2 linked regions of the Canis lupus familiaris genome follow. Each later gene encodes a partner of the first gene's protein in a complex. Links are inferred from orthologs where the notes say so. Each region holds a gene or a part of one and is shown on either strand. Other genes may lie near its edges. The genes, in order: CDHR5 and MYO7B.

Region 1 (4,354 bases):
TGGTGACCCGGAGGCCAGCTTCTCGCTCCCGCCTCACCCGCTGTGTCCACAGGGTGCCCCTGAGGGACCCCCTGGATCAGGCCTGGGCTCCCCAGCCGCCTCCCGGAACCGGGTCTGGGGCCTCGTTTTCGGAGCCGGCCATCCCTGCTGCCCAGGTGACACGGAGGAGGCCTTGAGGAAGAAGGGACCTGCCGCGGCAGCCGCCACGGCCGCCGCCCGGAGCCGACTGGGGCCTGGACGGGAGGGGGCAGGGGACGGGTTGTAACTGTCACCAATAAAGAGGAATTCAGACGGTGGCCCTCTGAGCTCCCTCTGCGCCGTCCCCCAGGGCGGGGCTGGCGGCACCAGGCGACCACAGGCTCCAGGACTGTGGCCACACCCAGTGCCCTTTACACCTGGGAGCCTGTGGGGCGCCTCACCTCCCTTCTGTCTCCTGTCCTGTCACCTGAGCTCCCCAGAGACCCATCCGGATCCCTGCCAGCTACTCAGCAAACATTCAGGGGCTCTGGGGGGGCACAGGACACCTGCCCTGGAGGCCCCTTGTCACAGTGCCAGCCGGTGGGAGGACCTGGGGGGCAAGGAGGCTCAGGCCGGGCAGGAAGAGGTGACGGGCATGGGTGCCACCAGGGGCCCAGGAGTGCACCCCAGGGGGAGGCTGTGAGCCTGGCTCCTGCTCCCGGCTGTGTGGTCTGAGCCTGTGCAGAGGGGGATGACACCCCAGGGGAGCCACGGAGGCGGTGCTGACACAGGAAGGGATGAGGCCAGGAGCCAAGGGCGAGGAAGCAGAAGGGCCACACCCCCTACTGTCCCTGCGTGGGGGGGGCCTCTCCCCTGCTGCCTTGGGCTTGGGGGCCCTTGGGGTAGGGCGGCAGGGGCCAGGGCCCAGGAGCCTGCCAGGGACCCCTGAAGACCCGGGCTCCCCCCGCCCCGAGCTCCCAGCAGCCTCCAGAAACACTGCCGCCCCCACCCCTGCCCTTGGAGGAAGTGGGGTGTTTCCAGCACAGGCAGGGGCGACCCCAGGACACAGACTGTGCAGGGAGGGGAGGTGGGCTTGGAGGGAACACCCGGGGTCTGACTTGGCTCCAAGATGATTCTGGAAGGAGAGCCCAGCGAAGGGGCGGCCGGGGCTAGGGGGACGGGTGGGTACAGCAGACACGGGAGCCAGGCCTGGGCCCCCAACCCCTGCCCCGGCTGCGCCCACCCAGCACGACCCGGGCCCTGCGCAGGCCCATGGAGCCCTGAGCCGGGAGCCCCCGTGGCCATGGCCCCCGCACGTGGCCCAGGGCTGGTGGGCAACCACGGGACGCCCCCTCCGGGCAGCTGGCCAGGCCTGGGCGGCGGCCGGCGAAAGCCCCCCTGCTGGAGGCCGAGGCCTGTAAAGGATCACACTGTGGGGCGGTGCCTGGTGGGGCAAAGGTCGCCCGCTGAGCCGCCACCCGGCAGCCAGCTGCGCACAGGGTCGAGCAGCGCGGCCCACGGAGATGGGGGCTTGGGCCCTGCTGCTGCCGCTGCTGGTGGCCACGGCACGGGCCCAGGGTAGCTGCGGGGCGGCGGGGGCAGTTGGGGCGGCGGGGGGGGTGCAGGGGCGGGGGGGTGGGGGGCACTGAGCCTTCCCTTCCTGCTCTCCAGTCTGCGCCGTAAGCAACAACATCTTCGAGGTCCAGGAGAACACGATTCAGAGCGGGCCCCTGGCTCACATCGACGTCCCCGCGGGCCAGCAGGTGACCCTCGGGTCGTCGTCCACTCCCTTCGCCTTTCGGATCCAGGGGACTGAGCTGTTTCTCAACGTGACTCCTGACTATGAGGTGCAGACGGGGGGCCGGGTGGGGCCCCACACAGGGCAGCTGAGTGGCGGGCGCGCTCCTCGGACCGGGGCTGTCCCAGGCTCGGGGTCCGTCTGCTCGGGGTCCGTCTGCGCTTCGCTGGCCGCCCCGCCCCCGCATCATCCACGGACCCCTCTGGGGCCTCCAGGCTTGGTGATGCCCTGGCCCCAAGGGGCATAGGGCCATTAGGGGCTGGAGCTGCCCCTGGACTTAGCGTGGACGCTGGGGACCCTGGTGACCACCCGGCCCCCGTCTGCCCCCCAGGAGAACACCCTGCTGGAGGCGCACCTGGAGTGCAAGAGTGGCAACACCGTGGTGAGTACCCCCATCCCCTGCCTCTGGGTCGCCGCCCCCACCCTATGACATCACAGCTCTTGGGCTTGGACCTCTGCACTCTGTTCTGACTGGTCCAGGGCCCCGCCCTGGGGACCTCACCCTGTGCGGTTTACAAGTGTCGCTCCTGGGCTGGCGCCCCCACTTCCTCCCGCCCAGACTGCCCCGAGGTGCAGACCCCCCAGCACAGAGGCACCTTGCCCAACCGGTTCCCTCGCCCCCACCCCCTCCCCACACCTCTCTCCATCGGCAAGTCCGTGAGCTCTGCCTGAAGCTGGACTCCAGACCAACCAGGGCCTTGGCCACCAGCATCTCCCTTCCGGAAACTTGGAGCTGGCTGCTTGCTCCCCTCCCGGCCTCAGCCAGTCCAGTCTCAGTGTGGCAGGACCATCGGGCCCAGCCAGCGGCGCATCCCCGCCCGGCGCCCCGGCTGCTCTCCCGCTCAGAGGCAAGGCTGAATGCCCCGGGCAGCGGGCAGCGCCAGGTGCCCCAGCCCGAGGCCGCTCCAGCTGCCCTTGAGCCCTCTCCCCAGACGCGCACCTGCCTCCCGCTGTCGCCCCTCGGCCTTCGCTCCAGGACCACCTTCTCAAGGGGCCCCTGACCACTCTGTCCTGAGCTGCAAGCCCGGCCCCCACGCACCTGTCGGCTTGCCCACGGTCCCCGGTCCTTCCGATTTTGTCATTATCTGCAAAGGGACTCGTGGGCATCATGTGACCCCCGATGCCCGCCCTCCCCACAGTCACGGAGCCGCCAGCAAGGCCCACCCAGCGAGGCCGCCGGCTACTTCTCTCTAGCATCTGCCCCTCCGGCCCTTCCTCTCTAGTGTGTTTATTGAAGCAATCTCTCCCCTCAACGTGGGCCTGAACTCCCACCCCGAGATCAAGAGTCGCCCCCTCCTCCCACTGAGCCAGCCGGGTGCCCCTCCCGAGCCTCTTTCAACATATGGGTTCCCCTTCCTCTCTTCCTTTCTCCTCGGGAATTATTTTTGAAGCGATTTGCTCATTTCGCCGTGGTTCTCACCTGGGATTGGCGGTGCCCCAGCCCGGCCGGTAGCCAAGTCCTTTGCCCGGGCACCTGCCGTCCCCGGGCTCGCGGCGGCCCGTGTGTGATGCAGGGTGCTCAGGCCGTGTCCCCGCAGGTGACCCAGCTGAGGGTGATTGTGTTTGTGCTGGACGTCAACGACAACCCACCCAAGTTCCCCTTTAAACTCCGGGTGGAGGACGTGCCCGAGGTGAGAGCCGGGGGGCGGGGGGCGAGGGGCCGGAGAGCAGGGCTAGTGGCCTGGGCCTTGGCCTGGGGGACCAGGGGTCGAGGGTGTAGACACCACTCCCCTCCATCCCCAGGACAGTAAAGTGAACACCACTGTCATCCCTGAGACGGAACTGGAGGCTCAAGATCCCGACAAGGATGACGTCTTGTTCTACACCCTCCAAGAGGTGACCCCGGTCAGTGTCCCCGACCCCCACGCCAACTCTGAACCCTCCCGTCGGGCAGCCCCTCTCCATGTTCCCCAGGGTCTCAGGCTGAGTCGCACCCGCCCCCCCCACCTCCCCAGGGTGCTGGTAGCTTCTTCTCCTTGCTGGGCACCAACCTGCCCGCCCTGCGGCTGGACCGGCCCCTGGACTTCTACAAGTGGCAGAACATGAGCCTCCTGCTGCTGGTGCGGGTGAGCAGGCCGGGACACCCCCCCGCTGCCCCCAGCCCCCGCTCGCAGGCCTGACCCCCGCTGCGCTCCCACAGGACACACAGGAGGAGAACGCCCAGCCCAGCCACACAGCCACGGCCACCCTGGTCCTGGACGTGCGGCCCGCCGACCTCCGGCCCCCCTGGTTCCTGCCCTGCGCCTATTCAGACCTTTACGTCTGCATCAACGCCGAGTACCAGGGGGCCATCCCCACAGGCCACAGACTGGTACTGGGGGTGGGGGGGCGGGGGGTGTGTGGGCTTGGGGCCCTGCGGCCGGGCCAGAACCCCTGGGGACCCGCTGAAGTGGGCCGCCCGCCACAAGAGGCACCCCAAGGCGCCGGGGGCAGCGGGGCAGACGCGGGCTCTAGGCCCCCATGGTACCGAGCACGTGTACCGAGTGCAGCCTCGGTGTGACTGCTCCCTGTCCCTCCTGGGGCCGCCATCGCTCAGATCAATCCGAGGTCTTTGCACAAATTCACCCCCACGGGGCGTGCTCAGCAGCCGTGTGGGGA
Region 2 (3,799 bases), on another chromosome or scaffold:
CTAAAGGAAGTGGTCTCAAAGTCCCCAAGGTGAAACTAGTTGAGGACAGTAGCTGCAGGAAGCTCAGGGAAGTCCACTCCCTCCCACTGCAGACAACAGCCAGGCCACCAAACTGAGCTCTGAGTACCATCCCCACAGCCACTTAATTTCCCATTTACAGACAGGGAACTGGAAGCTCAGAGCAGGGAAGCAGATGGTCCAGGGTCACAGACCTTAGGGGTGGGGGACTGAGCCCTGAGCTGGTCTAGGTGTTGGCCACCTTCCCTACAAGCCAGCACTGCAGCAAGAGCTGAGCACCCCTGGGAATTAGGGGGTGCAATGACTGCAAGGACCTCAGGAGGGAGCCGGGTGGCCTACTGGGATGGAGAGAAATGTGTGCTGGGAAACCTCATCCCTGTTGCCCATTACATCTGCCAACTGCCTGAGACAGAGGAGGATGCAGGCTCAGGAGGCCTCACAGCACAGAGAGCAGGTCCCCTGAGGCTGGGGACTGCCCGCCCCTGCCTGCCCGGGCTGTGTGGCCAGGAAGGCCACCACCACTCAGCCTCACAGTGGCCTTGGGCCCACCACTCCGTGTCTGGCTTTCCTCACCTCCTGAAGGAGACAGACCACAAAATGCCAGCACAGTTTCTGGCCTCTGCAGCGCCCTTGGTAAGTGGTGCTTTCCTGCCCCTGTGTGTGACCTGGAATTGCAGATGACACCACCATCCTGCCCTTCAAGAAGGGGGACCTGCTGATCCTGACAAAGAAGCAGGGGTTGTTGGCCTCTGAGAACTGGACCTTGGGCCAGAACGACAGGACAGGCAAGACGGGGCTGGTGCCCACAGCTTGCCTCTACACCATCCCAACGGTCACCAAGCCCTCGGCACAGCTGATGGTAACTCATATGCTCATCTATTCTCAGCCCAGGCACCTGTGGGCACATGAGGATGAGGCTTGGTTGCTAGCTCAGGGGCTCATACCCCACCTTGTAGAGAGCCAGGAGGTCACCTGGGCATTAGGTCTGCTCTGCCGCCCCTGTCATCCCTCTGGGGTGACCACGAGCCTGGCACAGTATCTGTGTACTGACCTGCACAGCGCTTGGCACTTCACAGATGCTCCCACTACAGTGTGTCCTGGGAACAAACCCACCCTTTCCCCACTGTCAGCCTTGATTAAACCTGACCCATGGGGGCCCAGGTCTCCCTACCCACAAACCACTCACCCCAGCCCCTAAAGCCAGCTCCACAGAGACAGGACAGATAGGCATTCCAGTATTCACATATTGAGTGCCAACCGTGTGCCCCATGCACTACAGCACTGAACACCACAGTGACTCTACCCTCAAGGAGCATTTAGGCAAACAATCGATGGCTAGTGTACAAAGTACCACCAAGAAGAAGCACTGGTTGTTCTGGGAGCGAATAATAGGATAGGGGCTTGCCCTGTCAGCAGGGCATCCCAGAAGAAGTGACATTGTGCTGTGGCCTGAGGCAGGTAGGGAACCGGGCAGGCAGGGGCGGGATGCCCCTGAGAGGTGCCCTGGGGAAGGGGAGCCTCGTGGGTCTGAGAAGCCTCCCTAAGGAACAGGAACAGGCTTGGAGACATTGAGACAGTGGTCATGGGTCACACACAAGGTGACACGAGAGGGGTAGGCCCAGGCCTGTACAACCCTGTGGTCAGCCCCTCCCATGGCACTGGAGCAACCAGGCCAGGAAGGAGCCCACAGGAAGAGCCCTGTGGGCAGTGGAACCCATAGGCCTGTGCCTCTACAGAGTTTGCTGGCCATGTCACCAGAGAAGCGGAAGCTGGCAGCCCAGGAGGTGCAGCCCACAGAGCCACTGCCTGAGGAGCAGCCCAAGGAGAAGCCACACACCCTGGAGGAATTCTCCTACGAGTTCTTTAGGTGCCCACTCAGGCCCCCACCAGGCCCTGCCAGCCCCTCGGTGTTCCCTGAAGTTCACAGGGAAGCCATGGAGGCAGGTGCAGTGTCCACCTGGCCTCTGCGGAGCAAGAGGAGGGCAGGGCGGGGCCTGGGCTCTCCCTCGACAGTACACACATGGGCAGAGAAGGCTTGAGAAAGGCCCTCACACCAGCCACCATCCCTAACAGGGCCCCAGAGAAGGAGACAGTCAGGAGGACCATGTTGCCCCTGGGCCGGACACAGGGCCACCTGTGGGCCCACTCATCCGAGCCACTGCGGCAGCCTCTGCTCAAGCAAGTCCACGCCAATGCCGAGCTCCGGGACCCTGCCTGTCAGATCTTCATTGATATCCTTCCCCGGCCAGCCTGGCCCCGCTCTGTGTCAACCCCGCACGCACAGGCCCCAGCGCCACCCTGTGAAGGGCACGGGCCCCGGGAGCGCAGGGCAGAGGCAGCATCCGCGCACGGGGCTGGTCGGGCCGTGTGGGGCCAGGGCCAGGTCAGAGGTAGCAGGCGGCCAAGCTGGCACATCCTCCTTGACAGCCACACGCATCCTCCGGTACATGGGTGACTACCCATCTCGACAGGCTTGGACCTCCGTGGAGCTCGCCGACCAGATCTTCTCGTTGGCCCTCCAGGAGTCAGCCCTGCGGGATGAGGTCTACTGCCAGATCCTGAAGCAGCTGACACACAACACCACGAGGTCTGCTGGGGACAGGGAGGGCCCGAGGGCACCAGCTCGTGGGGGCCGCCAGCCTGCCCGGCCCTGACAGCAGCACTGAGAAGGCTGCGGCCCTCATCCGTCCTGCGCCTTCTTGGGGGTGGTCAGAGCAGGGAGGGAAACGGACCTGCCTTGGTCCCTGCCTTCTCCCGCCCTTTCTCCTCTGTGACCTGGCCATGTCACGGGCTCTCCAAAGCTCAGTGCCCCCCTCCATAAAACGGGCACGATGGTACCCCCACCCCATTTTATGCATGTGAAAACCTTTGGAGGCATCAGGCCGCTGGGCAGCAGCTTCCTTGGCTGCGGCCTTGGGCGGGCCTCACACCCCATCTGCCCACTGGCCCAGGCCTGTAGAGGATCCTTTCTGAGCTCATAGGCATTTCCGCCTCCAGGTACAGTGAGGAGCGGGGCTGGCAGCTGCTGTGGCTCTGCACTGGCCTCTTCCCCCCGGGAAAGGCGCTGCTGCCTCATGCTCAGAAGTTCGTAGACACGCGGAGGAAGAAGCTATTGGCTCCCGACTGCAGCCGGCGCATCCAGAGGATCCTGAGGTGAGCCTGCCGGCTCCCTGCCCTTTCAGGAGCATCTGCCTATGGATGCTGAGGGGCCCATCTGGCCCTTCCAGGGCTTGTGGTCCAATGGGGACACCTGTCCATGAAACCAGGTTCTGTGTCCTCTCCAGAAGCTGGTGTCCACTTAAGGAGACAGGCCCAGGCCCCCAGCAACCTGCACAGAAGCCAGGAGCGAGGTTCTGAAGGTCTGACAGGCCTGGATGGTCAGTGGATGCTGCTGGCAGGCTGTCTTAGCCATGGGCTCTTCCTACCCTAACAGCTGCCTATTCAGGGCACAGGAGGAGCTGCCTGGAGGCCAGAGTGTGATGTCAATGCCCCAAGCCACCCAACTCCCCACCCAGCCCAGCCAAGGGTGGCCAAGATGGGAGGCCACTCCCTGCCAATCGATGTGGCCAGCCCTCCCATAGTGGGGCAGTTCTTCCTTGGCTGTCTTGATTCTCATCCACGCCACCTGTCCTGTCCAGCTCGGCCTCCTGTGGCTAGGGGAGATAGTGCTTCGGCCATGGTCATGGAGGGGGAACTGGGTGCCCTCAGAGAAGCCCTGCGGAGATGCCCCCGCTGTATGAGAATGAGAACCCACGTCTCCCTGGCACTGGTGCTCTGCCCA

The links.
Region 2: CDHR5 (region 1) and MYO7B share a complex: the UniProt entries of both Homo sapiens proteins name them as parts of the IMAC/intermicrovillar adhesion complex. The link is inferred for Canis lupus familiaris from reciprocal best matches to the Homo sapiens genes CDHR5 and MYO7B.

What each region holds. Positions count from the first base shown.
Region 1 is NC_049239.1:26,066,271-26,070,624, reverse strand, and holds the start of CDHR5 (cadherin-related family member 5), read left to right. Parts: upstream 1-1,415; 5' UTR 1,416-1,481; coding exon 1,482-1,536; intron 1,537-1,629; coding exon 1,630-1,805; intron 1,806-2,087; coding exon 2,088-2,138; intron 2,139-3,294; coding exon 3,295-3,387; intron 3,388-3,499; coding exon 3,500-3,601; intron 3,602-3,711; coding exon 3,712-3,822; intron 3,823-3,896; coding exon 3,897-4,067; intron 4,068-4,354. UniProt on the Homo sapiens protein: Intermicrovillar adhesion molecule that forms, via its extracellular domain, calcium-dependent heterophilic complexes with CDHR2 on adjacent microvilli. Thereby, controls the packing of microvilli at the apical membrane of epithelial cells.
Region 2 is NC_049240.1:24,340,518-24,344,316, reverse strand, and holds part of MYO7B (unconventional myosin-VIIb), read left to right. Parts: intron 1-695; coding exon 696-877; intron 878-1,754; coding exon 1,755-1,885; intron 1,886-2,091; coding exon 2,092-2,249; intron 2,250-2,451; coding exon 2,452-2,605; intron 2,606-3,015; coding exon 3,016-3,171; intron 3,172-3,799. UniProt on the Homo sapiens protein: Myosins are actin-based motor molecules with ATPase activity. Their highly divergent tails are presumed to bind to membranous compartments, which would be moved relative to actin filaments.